Linked DNA regions of Drosophila melanogaster. The gene in region 2 interacts genetically with the main gene of each other region. Each region holds a gene or a part of one and is shown on either strand. Other genes may lie near its edges. The genes, in order: wek, pll and mad2.

Region 1 (4,704 bases), on a different chromosome or scaffold from region 2:
GTTTAATCAACATGATTTTTTCTTTCCTCTATTTCCATGCAGCGTCGAAGAGTTAATGTCCTCGCTGAACATTGACTAGGAGTGAGTGAAGGTGGAAGGGATAGAGAGCCAACCTACTTGGATGCACTATTTATTGACTCTGCTCGGTTTGGAGGAAGGCCATGCCAAAATATTTTGCTTCTCAACGTGTTAACCTAAACAGCAAGTAATTAAAGAGAAACCATCGAAATCAAAACATGTTTAGATATTTATCCTACACAGAGACCCACTCACAAATGATCTAATTTGTATTAATTTAGTTGTTCCTTATATTTTTTTCTCTTGTTACATTTTTATTATTTAATCGCTTAATATTTACTATTTTATCACCGAGTTGTGGCACAAAATATTGATAGGTGATCAATATGCCATTCATTCATTCCCCAATTTAAGTGTGCGTTTAAATTGTAAATGTATTTTGAAATTATTAAAAAAAAAACCAACTTAAATGCAAAAAGGGCCGTTGTGTGTTTAATTAGGTGTCAATGTATCTGGTGTTAGCACGAAGCATTTACATTTGCTGAGTTATAATTTCAAACTGATTTTATTGTGAATAAGCCCTTGGAATTATCTACAGACCAACTTGTCGCAATCTAGTGAACCATGCGTGGGAGTTCTATGAATAGCGCTCATCTTTAAAATATGCTGCAACCGCTCACAGGAGTTTCAATTGAGTGTTTCAAAGTGTACGCATAATTTGGTGTCACAAATTACAATTGTTATTTTTAAATCTACATTGTGAGTCAAACAATTATTATCTTTTATACAATGTCATTTTCATGTGTGAACACATTTCCCAATTTAAGTGTGCGTTTAAAAAGTGAATTTATTTTGAAACTTATTAAAAACCAATTTAAATGCAAAAAGGGCAGTTGTGTGTTTAATTAAGTGTAAATGTAAATGTCTCTGGGATAAAATTTTACTGCGCACTGCTATTTATACATTTTTGTCAACCAACATGGTCTAATCCTGTTTGGCCTTGGCCATCTCGCGAGTTCTGCAAACCAAAAATTTAGTACAATAGTAAGCTAATAATAATAATATGCATGACTATAGCTTACATCGCTCTCAGTTCTTCCAATGTTGGCACTGGAACACGTGAAGATTCGGTTTCATCCTCCTTGGACGCCAGTTCCGGATGTTTTTTCCATTTGTGGGAGCGACAGTTGGTGTTGCTGGCGAACGCCTTTCCGCAGTACTTGCATACGTAGGGTCTGAGGCCGGTGTGTCCAAGGAGATGGATCTTCAAGGCCGTGGAGTTCTTACAGCCGCTGCCACAAACCTCGCACTTGAAGCGCCGCTCATCCGTGTGCACATACTTGTGCTTGTTAAGAATCGCCCGTGTCTGCAGCTTTTTGCCGCAGACATTGCACTCAAACTTGGGCTCACCATGTGTCTGACTGTGCACCTGGAAATTGTATACAAATTTCAAGATTTAGTTGGTCCACAAGATTATTCGATGACTTACTCTCAGCCTAGCTTTGTTCTTAAAACCAGCATTGCAGACGGGGCATATACAGGGCTTCTCTTCCGTGTGAACCAGCTGGTGCTCCACCAGCGATGTGAAGGTCTTCAAACCCTTTCCGCAGTGATCGCAAACGTATTTCTTCGGACCGCCGTGCATGTCGTGCTTGTGCCTGCGCAGAGCCATGAAGGACATAAAGGTTTCGTTGCAGATTTTGCAGGGATAATCGACGAAATTCGAACTCTGGGAGCCATGGGGTGACATGCTCAATTCGGATGTCTTGTCATCTTGTTTGGATTTAGCATTGTCGTCTGGTTCGCGGGAAGTTACGTTATCGCTGTCGTCCACGTTTTTCTGTTTGCCTGAGCCCTTGGGTCTGCCTCTTTTTCGCTTCAAAGGCGGCGGGGATACGGCCTCGTCTTCGTCTAGAATGGCCTCCTCATCATCCGACTCGGTTGCAGTGTACACTTTGGAATTTCGCTTAGCCGCAAACTGCTGTCGGCGACTTCGTTTTGTTTCAACTTCAGGAATTGATGCAGTAGGTGAGGCTAGCACTTTGGGATCGGAATTACACTGTTTGAGATTAGCTCGTGTTCGCACGGTCTGTGCTTCAAAATCGGGTGACGGAGATGTGGAATGGTCTGATATCGTTAGCTCCTCTACCAAGGAACACCTATCCTCCGTATCGTCTATGTCCAGGAACTCGAGGTCCTGCTTGCAGGCCGGCGGAAGGCCGTATTCCAGACGCAGGGCGTCCAAGTCCTGGCTATCCTGCGGCTCCGAGTGTCGCAGAAGCTCAAAAATGGCTTGTACTTTGGAAACGCTATCCGAGAAGGTGATCAGCTGGCCAATCACCGAGTAGCACTCCTCGCACAACATGCTGCCCAGTTCCGGTTCCTCGAGGGTCATCTGCGTGTGTGGAAAACTAATGTATAAGCTATCTGTAGGCTGGGAAAACGAATAACATACCTCCACATCAAAGCATTTGCTGATAATCCTAACCAGATCGTCGTCCCGCTCGCGCACTTTGTATACAACGTCGTCGCGGGCGCACAGGCGACACCAGTATATCCAATCGCTTGTGGGAACTCCCATGGCTAATCCTCAACAGAAGCCCCACAGTTTGGTACAGTATGCCCTCGGGTTTTGACTAAATTCTATTGCCAAAGCGCTGATTAAAATCAGCTGTATGGAGCGGAATTCCGAATCGATTAATTGGTATGCGCACTCCGATGATTTTTGGAAATATCGATAAGTGCAAAACAACAAGTTGTTGCCGCCATTTTCAAAAAGTATTCAGTTTAAATTTGGAATTGAAAATTGTATTTATTTTACTTTTTTTTCTCAATCATAAGAAGTATTACTAACGTTTTCCTTCCTGCGTGTCGATGTTTATTAACATAGAGATGTATTATCATCATCATTTGGATGTGGTTTCCCAGGGATATAATGTTGTTTTTAAAACATGCGACCGAGTTTTTACTCTGGTATATATATATAAACAATATAATAATTTATTTTCGACTTACATATAAGAAAAACTGTGTATAACAAAAACTAATTTTAGCACATTTGCTTAATATAACAAAATGGAATGATAAACTACATCTCAACGTCTTCCATATCGTTCGCCCCACTCTCCACCCAATTCTCGATGGTGTAATAGGCTTTTAGAGCCAATTCGTCGTCCAGCGTCGGCTCGCCAAGCACCAAAGGGCCCAATTGCTTGTCGACCATAACGTCTTGCCAGAATTCGCTGCGATTCTTGGCCAGCGCGATCTTCTTCAGCTCCTCAGCGAACTTGTCGTATTCCAAAAAGGTGTTGAAGTCTATACAGCTCTGTCGGTACAGGGTGATGAGCTCGCCCAGTTGCCCGATGTTCTGTTTCCTGCGCTGCAGCAGTGTGATGATCACCACGCGGGTATCGGCAGCCAGCGCCTGAAAGCGGGCATCTCGCTCAGTGGCATTACTGATTGTGTGAACGCTAGCCAGGACTCGCCTGAAATCAGAGATTGGATCAATTAAGCCCACACCGTCTGATGGCAACGGGATTTCCTTCTCCGCTGGTTCCGACTTGACTGCCACACCATTCTCTGCCTGCTCCTTGGCCAACAGCTTTTCCTGCCAGGCGCGACTATAGCGCAATGGAAATAGCTTCTTTACGATGGCTGCCGCTCTCTTTGACTTCTCCTCCAAGGGATCTGGCACTCGCCAGAATACATCTGCGAAGTTTTTGTCCTTAAGCATTTTGTCTTCCTTGTCGTTATCATAGATAACTTTTCGCTCTAGGATGTCCATGACATTCTGCTCAAAGATGCTGGGAAGTGCGTCGAACGGCAGCAGATCATTCTGCGCCCACGGACGTGGCTGCTGCGTGTCCCGCAGTGTGCACTCCAGATCGGTGCTATCGATTAACTGATCAATGGCATTCAGCTGTTCCTCGCTGCACTCCGTCTTGGTGGTTCGCAGTGCCGGAAAGTCCCAGAAGTGGTGCTGAGACGTATAGGAAACTTCCAGCATATACAAAGTAGCCGGATGGGTATCGTCTGCTAAGCGGGGCAGTAGCACAACCATTTGCGGTCTATTAAACTTGGTGCTATATATTTTCCAGCACAGTATGGCCCGATCCGAAGAAACGAGAGCACGCACCAGAGCGTCCAGCTTCACGGCGGCAGATTGATTGTGCTTCTGATGCACCAGGAGGTACAAGGACTCGCCACAAAAGTACTCATCCGGCACGGCATTTCTTTTGATAAAGCCAAAGAAGTGGAGACCAGGTGGGTGTGGTTCCTTTGGCTCTAGCACGGCCTCGTCGTATGGCACCGGAGTGCCGCCCAGCATGTAACCGGTTATCAGATTCTCCGGCAGCGGGGTGATCTCAGTGCCTTTGATATAATGACGAGTCTCCCGTATCACTATCTCATCCTTTTCCGCCCAGACCTTTACCAGCTTTACGGGCGTCTGGTTCTTCATGGCGATTATGCCCTGCAGGCTAATGGAGATCTTGCTGCCGATGTTCAGCTTTGCGTTCCACACCCAGGGTCGCCGGTTGGTCACCTTGAAGACGGTATGCAGTGCCTCCTTGAAGCTGCACAACGTCGCATTGCAGCGAGGAACGAGACTGAGGGCGTACTTCTGGTTATTCAGCTCATCGGGGCCGCATTTGCGCGAAAAGTTGAAAATAGCCTGAGGCTGAGAAG
Region 2 (4,245 bases):
CCTGCAGCTTGGCTTCCTCAGCAGGCATTGGGCTGTTTTCACCAGAAGATGGTCCGTAATATGGGGAGTTATCATCCACTTGCTTGTCGGCGGCTGTCCTCCTCTTGAGGCACCGGGTCTTCTTCATCCGGCGGCGTGGGGACATGGGCTGCAGTGGCGGTGATTGCTCCGGACTGAACCATTCCCGGTCCAAGCACGGCTGCTCATTAAGAGCCATGTCCAGGGCGCGAACAACGTGGGTCCTCTTTTCGCGATCCTTCCGTATTTTCTCCTTGGAGAAGTGGCGCAGCTCCTGAATCCTCTTGAAAAACTTGGAATTTTTTAAATTCATTGTCTCGTCCGCTGGTCGTCCTTGATTAAAAATTGAAAATTTTTCACGTGCTAAAAGCTATATCTATAAAATTGATTCGTGTCAATGGTTAGAGCCGGAATTCTGCGTCACGAATAAAAACAATATTATTTTGCGATGATTGTGTTGTGAAAATGAAAATAATTATAACCGAAATGACGCTAAAATCAAAACGTAGCTCCACTGGCCACGTCGCTTGAGTCGTTTGAGTTTTAAATCATCGATTTGGGGCATATCATAAATTTAGTTTCTCCGAACATCAAACATACCACTAACAACTAAGTGTACAAAAATATTTAATAAACAATAGGGTAAGCATTTACAATTTAAGCATAACAATAAGTCTTTAGGGAAATTTTCGTTGGAATGTTAAAGTTAAAAATATATATTGCGATTGATCACAAAATGTGGAAATGGTTTACAAATGGTCCTTCGAGCTTTTCAAGTTCGTCAATAAAATGGTAACATAATAAGGCCCATCTAGTCGGTAACAAACGGTTCGAAACGCTTGAGCACCGCGTTCATGGATGGGCGATCCTGCGGATCCAGGGCAGTACAGTGCAAGCCCGCCTCGATGGCGCACATGCACATGTCCAGCTCCTTGCCCATCGGTGCTGCTAAGTGCTTCTCTAGCAGCTCCATCCGGTTTTGCCGCCACTGCTGCTTAACGTAGTCCAGCAAATTCTTCTTCGTCTCGTTTTCCGGCACGCGATCCGTCACCTGACGACCCGTGAACACCTCCAACAGCACAATGCCGAAGCTGTAGACGTCCACGCCCGTGCTGAGTTGTCTGAAGTTGCGGAACTCCGGTGGCAGGTAGATCTTAGTGCCGAAAACTTTATTCACTTCCACCACAGCGTCCAAGGACTTGGGACCCTCGCGCACCAGACCGAAGTCTCCGATTTTTGGCTGCAGACATTGGTCCAGCAGGATGTTGGCCGGCTTAATATCTCCATGAATCAGCGGTGTGCCTCGCGCCGTGTGCAGAAAGTAGATGCCTCTTTTGGAAACGAAATGAAAAGTTAAAGAAGATTGATAGCACTAAAGAAACGATAAATCCCACCTAGCCGTGCCGAGGCTGATGCTAAACCGCTGCTGCCAGGTGAGTGCTGGTAGTGGGTTTTGTGCCTTATGCGCTCGTAAACGAGCCTCCAGGGAGCCGCCCTTCATCAGCTGGTAGACGAGGCACGGCTTACCACCTTTGATGCTGTATCCGTAGAGGGCCAGGATATTGTCGTGCCGGATGCTGTTTAAATACTTGAGTTCGTTGTAGCTCTGCTGCAGCTCCACCATTTTCTGGTCGATGTTGGGACTGCGGTAGTTCATCACCTTGATGGCCACGTCCAGTTGCTTCCATTTGCCGCGGTACACGTCTCCGAATCCGCCCTGTCCCAGTCGATTATCCGGACTCCAGCCGTCCGTGGCGTTTTCTAGCTCCGCATAATCGATCTCCAGCAAGGATTCGGCTGCCCGCTGTACGGTGCTAATGTGTATATTGCCCAGGGACTCCAGGCTGGGTATCTCCTCCGTTGCCGTTGTGCTGGTGCGATTGTTGTTTGAGTTGCTGACGCCCGAGGAGGAGGGAAACGGCGGGCCGTTGTTTACTTTGGCACTGGAATCGGGAGCAGCGCGCAGCTCGCTGATGGTGGGCACGCTCCTCGGTATGTACTTGTGCAGATCCTCGCTAACGTAATCTTTGATCAGACGCATGGCGTTATGAAGCTTCAATCTAAAGTAAGAGGAGTCATTTCTGGGATCTCGGCGGTTATTATCTCAAACTGACTCACTTTTTGAACAAAGCAAACAATGTTTGCACCGTGTGATTGTACTGACCGCCCCAAATGTTGAGGAACTCATTGGAGGCTGAGCGGCCACGCTGCTTCTGGCTGCTTATCTGCTCCACCTGGTCGGGATAGAGTTTTACGGCCGTGGCCAGCTGTTGCCATACGTCTAGGGCATCCAAGTGGGCACATAGCTGGGCTCGCACGGGCAACGGCAGCAGTCGGATGGCCATTGTGTTGTCCAAGTGGGAACGCGACCTGGTCCTGTTGCCATTCGCTTGGTTTTGGGCCTGCGCCTCGGCTTCGGCGGTCTGGACGCCACTCATCTTTCACTTATGGGCGGGCGGTTCAACCGGTTGCGACTGATTCATGCGGCTCCGGATGCAAGAGTGCCCGTTGGATGAGGGGTTGGCGGCGCTGGTAACCTGTTGCAGCGAAACGAAAATCGCTTTTGGGTAAATTCCCAACGCGATTCGATGAAAACCTGTGGATGACTTGTTAACAGCGGCGCAACAAGTGATAAAGCAGCTTAACAGAGCGAAGCAGTCTGGCAACGCTGCCAATGTCTAGCAAATAATACACTCGAAAAAGTGGTAGATGCTTAGGAGCCACTGTTTAAAATTCAGAAGTAAAAAGAAAGCAGAGTAATTATTAAAAAGGTATTTGCTGTATGAAAATATTAAATAGATTTTAAATAACCTCCACATATTTTATGTAATTTGCACAGTATTTTGTATACTAAAATATCTTAAAAAATACCAAAGGCAATTAGTGTATGACCAAATGAGCCTTGCAGTTTGGCGGACATGCGTCGTTTTCAAGTGCCCCGCAGGTGGCCACACTGCTGACACCGTCACGAACGCATCGCTATCGCTAATTCTTCGCTTCGCCCATTTATAATTCAGCAAATACGTCAATTAGCCCCACCAGCGAACGGAAAAGCCTCAAGCTGGCGGAGAAAAAGGTCCAAATGGCGCTATGCCAGACATCGGTGGTGAGTGTGCGGCTGGATCCCCGAGATCCGGTAATTGTGTCAGCGGCGGTGGCTCCATTGCATTCGACATATGGAAGGCATCCTACCAAGGAGTTTCTCCATTTCCTCCAGCTTCACCTCCTTCCGCCGCCCACGCGGGAAAGTGAAAGCTTTCCCAGTGGTCATGGTAGTTACTACAAAACGATAGTTACAACTGCTGAAATCCGAGATACCAAAACTGCAAACCTCTCGGGTGTGGATGTGTGTGCATGCGAGTGCGTGTCTGTCTGGATGTCGCTGTGTTAGTGCGTTCGTTGCCTTGCAGTTTTGTATGTTTCTTGCCCTCTGGATTTTCCGATTTTCGGCTTTTCCGCGTAGTACTTCAAACTCCCATGGGGGGTTATATTTAGCAGTAATACACGCTGCGTAGCTTGTGCTATTATCTACAAGTCGGGGCCTCCTTCCTTATCGTCCGCTGATAACGCAAAACAAACTATTAATAAAACAAGCAACTGGCATACCGGTGTATATATATGTACAATGTACATATATATATATACCAGCATATGCATGGTATCTATGTACATATGTGCACTGCGACATTCTTCGCAAACAAATAATTTACATACTTTATTTGCGTTTTGCATATTCACATTACAGCTGCGTCTGAATTTTAATGGGAGCTCAAAAAGGCTCACCACATACTGTGCGCCACATTTTCAACTTCTATAGCGTCTTGCCCTTTACTTGCTTCGTGGATTTTTTGCGCAATCCCTATTGTTTTACCCCCAACTGTTTAGGCCCTAATAGCGTGAAGTTGAGCCGCGATAATATAATGAGTGTTTAAGTCAACACAAGCCCAGATTTGTCGTGCATTTCAAATTTAATTATACACAATTAACCGCATCCCCTCTCGCCCGCAGCTGAAGGTGTACCATGCCGTGATCGAGGACGTCATCACAAATGTGCGGGACGCGTTCCTGGACGAGGGCGTCGACGAACAGGTGCTGCAGGAGATGAAGCAGGTCTGGCGCAACAAGTTGCTTGCTAGCAAGGCCGTCGAGCTGAGCCCGGACTCCGGCGATGGCTCCCATCCGCCACCCATCGTGGCCAACAATCCAAAGGTAAGCGAAACGGAGCCC
Region 3 (3,459 bases), on a different chromosome or scaffold from region 2:
CATGGAGCAGGGACTGCGTGACTGCTGTCGCTCCATTCGCATTGGAAAGATCCTGGTCGAGTCCGATGCCAATACGCATGAGGCCCGCGTGGTTTATGCCCGCTTTCCCGATGACATCGGCAGCAGGCAGGTGCTACTCATGTACCCCATCATGTCCACGGGCAACACTGTGCTGCAGGCGGTGAATGTGCTGCGGGAACACGGCGTACCCGAGAGCTGCATCATCCTGTCCAATCTCTTCTGCACACCCATTGCCGCTCGGACCGTAGTGAATGCCTTCCCCAAGCTGAAGATCCTCACCTCCGAGCTGCATCCCGTGGCACCTAATCACTTTGGCCAGAAATACTTCGGTACAGACTAGATACTTGGGTCTATCTCGCAGACTTGACGACTAAGCGCTGCTTAGGATAGGTAGCTGTCGCCCAGACAAACGCCCTTTCCTGCGTTGCGCTCCACTAACAAATGCTACCCTCTCTCACTCTGTTTCGTCCTCCAGATTGCATTTGAGACACACAGACAAATAGACGACCCCTGCGGCCAACCAAACTACTACTTAGCAACTGTTAGCTTTTCACAACTGGCTTTTAATGCAACTCTCAAATACGTTACGTTCGTTACGCACTATTGTAAATATAGAAACGAAATAAATATTTAAACATTAGGATGAGGCGGTACTGCCTTTTAAGTGCTCATCTTGTAGTTGACCACGGTGTCCACCTTGTGCAGTCCTGTAGAAAAGGAGCGCAGCTGGACGGCCTGCGGATTCTGTATGACAATGGCACCCGTTTCGTCCCATTTGGCCGGTAATTCGGTGTTCTGCAGCGTGTGAATCATTATGTCGAAGGTGCAGATGCAATCGAGCAGTGGCAAATAGCTCACGGTGGCCGAGATCTGCCGCATAACGTCGCGAATCTCGTTCTGTATGCGACTCAGCTCCTTGGTGGTTGTTGCCTTGGTGGGATCACTGATATCGCCATCGCCCAACTCGGCCTGCATATTAAAGTCCCAGCACTCGAGCACCTCCTTGGTGTGGGCGTTCGTAATGACCATCGAGATCTTGTTGATCATGTTCTTCGAGAGCCATTCTATAGGTGAATACAAATAATGGTCACCATAAACTTGAATTTTTTCCAAAAGACCACTAACCTTCAGTTTGGCTGAGCACGTTCTGCAGAAAGGTCTTGATCTTGGGATCCTTGGACATTAGAATGGTTAGCCCATACTGCTGCGTGTTGTTAAAGTCTTCGGCTGGGTAAATTCCGCGTTGGAAGAGGATCGAATTGATGCCGTACTCTATTTAGGAAAAAAAAAGAACCAGAGACGCCATTGCAGGCGAACTTACAGACGCTTTCGTGACGTAGCTTGCTACTCACTCAGGTATTCCACAATAATCTGAGCGGAGCCCTTGAGTGTGATGCAGTTTTTGGTCGCCTGGGCAGTTGACATGTTGATTTAAGTCGATTTAAGTGGGAGAGAAATTAACAATTTGCTAAATTGCCGCTATTTTTGAAAGGTGTTGACTAGCAGAGATGACAGAAGCTCGATATACATTCGATACGTTTGTCTGCAATATATCGATAAATATCGGTGAATGTACTCGCTAAATTCAGTATATTTCTATATTTGGTGTGTGTATTGGCTATGCGACCAGGGATGGTGGAACCAGGGATGGCTAACTCCGACCAGTGCTGCCAAGCAATTCCCAAAGGGCGGCATATTTAAATTCATCAATTTATTTGCGCAATAAAATCAAAACACAATTATTGATTGCAACAAATTCAGAATTTTATTGGCCATCCTTGTGTAAACTAAATCTAAGCATGAGATCCATTTCTGAGCGCAAAAGTAATTCCGCGTGGTTCGGCCTAATGGGTTCCATCCGGTTCATCGTATTCCTGCCAAGAGACTAAAATAAGACAAGACTTTGATATAGCCAGAACAATAGAGGACCCAGTTAATCTATGCTATCCAAAACCTAGCTCGGTTCGTCAGAGCCTTGATTACTCTGCCCTCTGATTTGACAGAAAAGATCAGCAAAAGCAGAGCAGCAAATCATAAACGAAGTACAAGAAGCCACAGTGAACAAGAACAGAATATCAGACCAAATCAAAAAGCAATCGATGTTTGTAAAATGTGAATTATTTGCAAATTTTTAATTAAGTTTTTTCTTACGCATCGTTTTGTTTGTTTTTGTTGTTTTTTTTTCGTTTTTGTTTGTTTAATGTTTTGTTTTAAATTAAAATTAAACTTTACATGGTATTTTTGGTATAAATCTTTCAATAATTAAATATATAAAAAATTTGCCACTTAAAATAACTAAAAATAATCTCTACGCACTTTCTTGCTTTACGCCTAGCCATACAAACTGATGTCAACATACACATTGTGAAGAAATAAAAACTAATTTGCCATTTTACATATTTTGGTGTTGAAATTGCGCAAATCCAAAAAAAACGAGGACAAATAAAATAGTATTTCGAAATTAAGTAGCTCCATGGTGTCTGTGTGGGGTGTTCGTGTGTGTGTGTGTGTGTGTGTGTGAGCTTATAGCTATAATTACGTTTAATTTAGGTGTAATTAAATACAATAAATTACGGTTAAAGAAGGGCTTGCATTACCTTAGTTGAAATGTACACAAAACTTATCGTTAGTTAAAACGAGAGCTATTTACAGGATTTATTACAAAGTTCTCGGCTACGTCAACCTTTGTTATCATTTTAAAATTATTGTCTATGATACAACAACAAAAGCGCAACAATGTCAAAGTCAGGGTCGAATCGGTAATGCTTTGCTCTCGAACTTTGAACCGCAAACTTCGATCTTAGATGTTATATGTATGTGATATATTTCGTAAAATAAATAATTTAAAATTCTGCTCAGCTTTCATACATCCGATTTATACATTTAAGATATTCTGTCACCGTGCACAAGAACAAACGTAGCTAAAGTCAGTCTGGATCTGGAACTTTTCGCTCGGGAAGAAGGAACTCTAGGCGAGGGGAATTGTACGAATTTTGAAATGTTTTCTGTTTTCTGTTTTCGGATATGTATTCTTTGTAGTTGCAAACTTTGAGAACGGTGATGGGTTTTTGGGCATGGTCAGCTGGTGCAACAAATTCTCTAATTTTTTAATAAACGTAAAAAATTACAATTGTCCACGTTTTTGGAGTGCAGGGAGTTCGATTTTTTTTTTGTTTTTCGTTTTGTTTATAAAATCATAAAAATAATGAAACAAAATTCTATGCATTAATAGTCGTTATTTAAGGTATGTATTTGGCCGTAGATTGCAACAAAATATCTGTGAAGAGATTAAATTATAAATAAAATTAAAAATTAATCTTTCAGTTCTTCATTTACTGCTAACTAAAAGCTGGCTAACACCATTTCCACAATTAGGGGCAACTACAAGCATAAAATTGCGCTCTCAAATGAAAAAATCCATGCAGAAGGATATTGAAG

Evidence for each region.
Region 1: of pll (region 2) and wek, changing one enhances a phenotype caused by changing the other (phenotypic enhancement), as found in Drosophila melanogaster (one study listed by BioGRID).
Region 3: of pll (region 2) and mad2, changing one suppresses a phenotype caused by changing the other (phenotypic suppression), as found in Drosophila melanogaster (one study listed by BioGRID).

The regions. Positions count from the first base shown.
Region 1 is NT_033779.5:15,765,633-15,770,336, forward strand, and holds wek (weckle), read right to left. Parts: upstream 2,718-4,704; 5' UTR 2,600-2,717; coding exon 2,474-2,599; intron 2,414-2,473; coding exon 1,508-2,413; intron 1,448-1,507; coding exon 1,101-1,447; intron 1,037-1,100; coding exon 1,003-1,036; 3' UTR 501-1,002; downstream 1-500. Other genes in the region: CG3793 (uncharacterized protein), read left to right, coding at 43-79; Ku80, read right to left, coding at 3,107-4,704. UniProt on the Drosophila melanogaster protein: Acts as an adapter to assemble/stabilize a Toll/wek/Myd88/tube complex; required for efficient recruitment of Myd88 to Toll. Dispensable for innate immune response; plays a minimal role, if any, in the immune defense against Gram-positive bacteria and fungi.
Region 2 is NT_033777.3:27,250,502-27,254,746, forward strand, and holds pll (pelle), read right to left. Parts: upstream 2,682-4,245; 5' UTR 2,457-2,681; coding exon 2,137-2,456; intron 2,079-2,136; coding exon 1,413-2,078; intron 1,350-1,412; coding exon 830-1,349; 3' UTR 630-829; downstream 1-629. Other genes in the region: TTLL6B (tubulin tyrosine ligase-like 6B), read right to left, coding at 1-331; TfIIA-L (transcription factor IIA L), read left to right, coding at 3,101-3,124, 4,027-4,227. UniProt on the Drosophila melanogaster protein: Plays an essential role in the Tl receptor signaling pathway that establishes embryonic dorsoventral polarity; the signal directs import of dl into ventral and ventrolateral nuclei, thereby establishing dorsoventral polarity.
Region 3 is NT_037436.4:5,811,569-5,815,027, forward strand, and holds mad2 (mad2), read right to left. Parts: upstream 1,526-3,459; 5' UTR 1,447-1,525; coding exon 1,374-1,446; intron 1,294-1,373; coding exon 1,147-1,293; intron 1,086-1,146; coding exon 682-1,085; 3' UTR 567-681; downstream 1-566. Other genes in the region: kri (krishah), read left to right, coding at 1-350, 497-507; vn (vein), read right to left, coding at 3,247-3,298.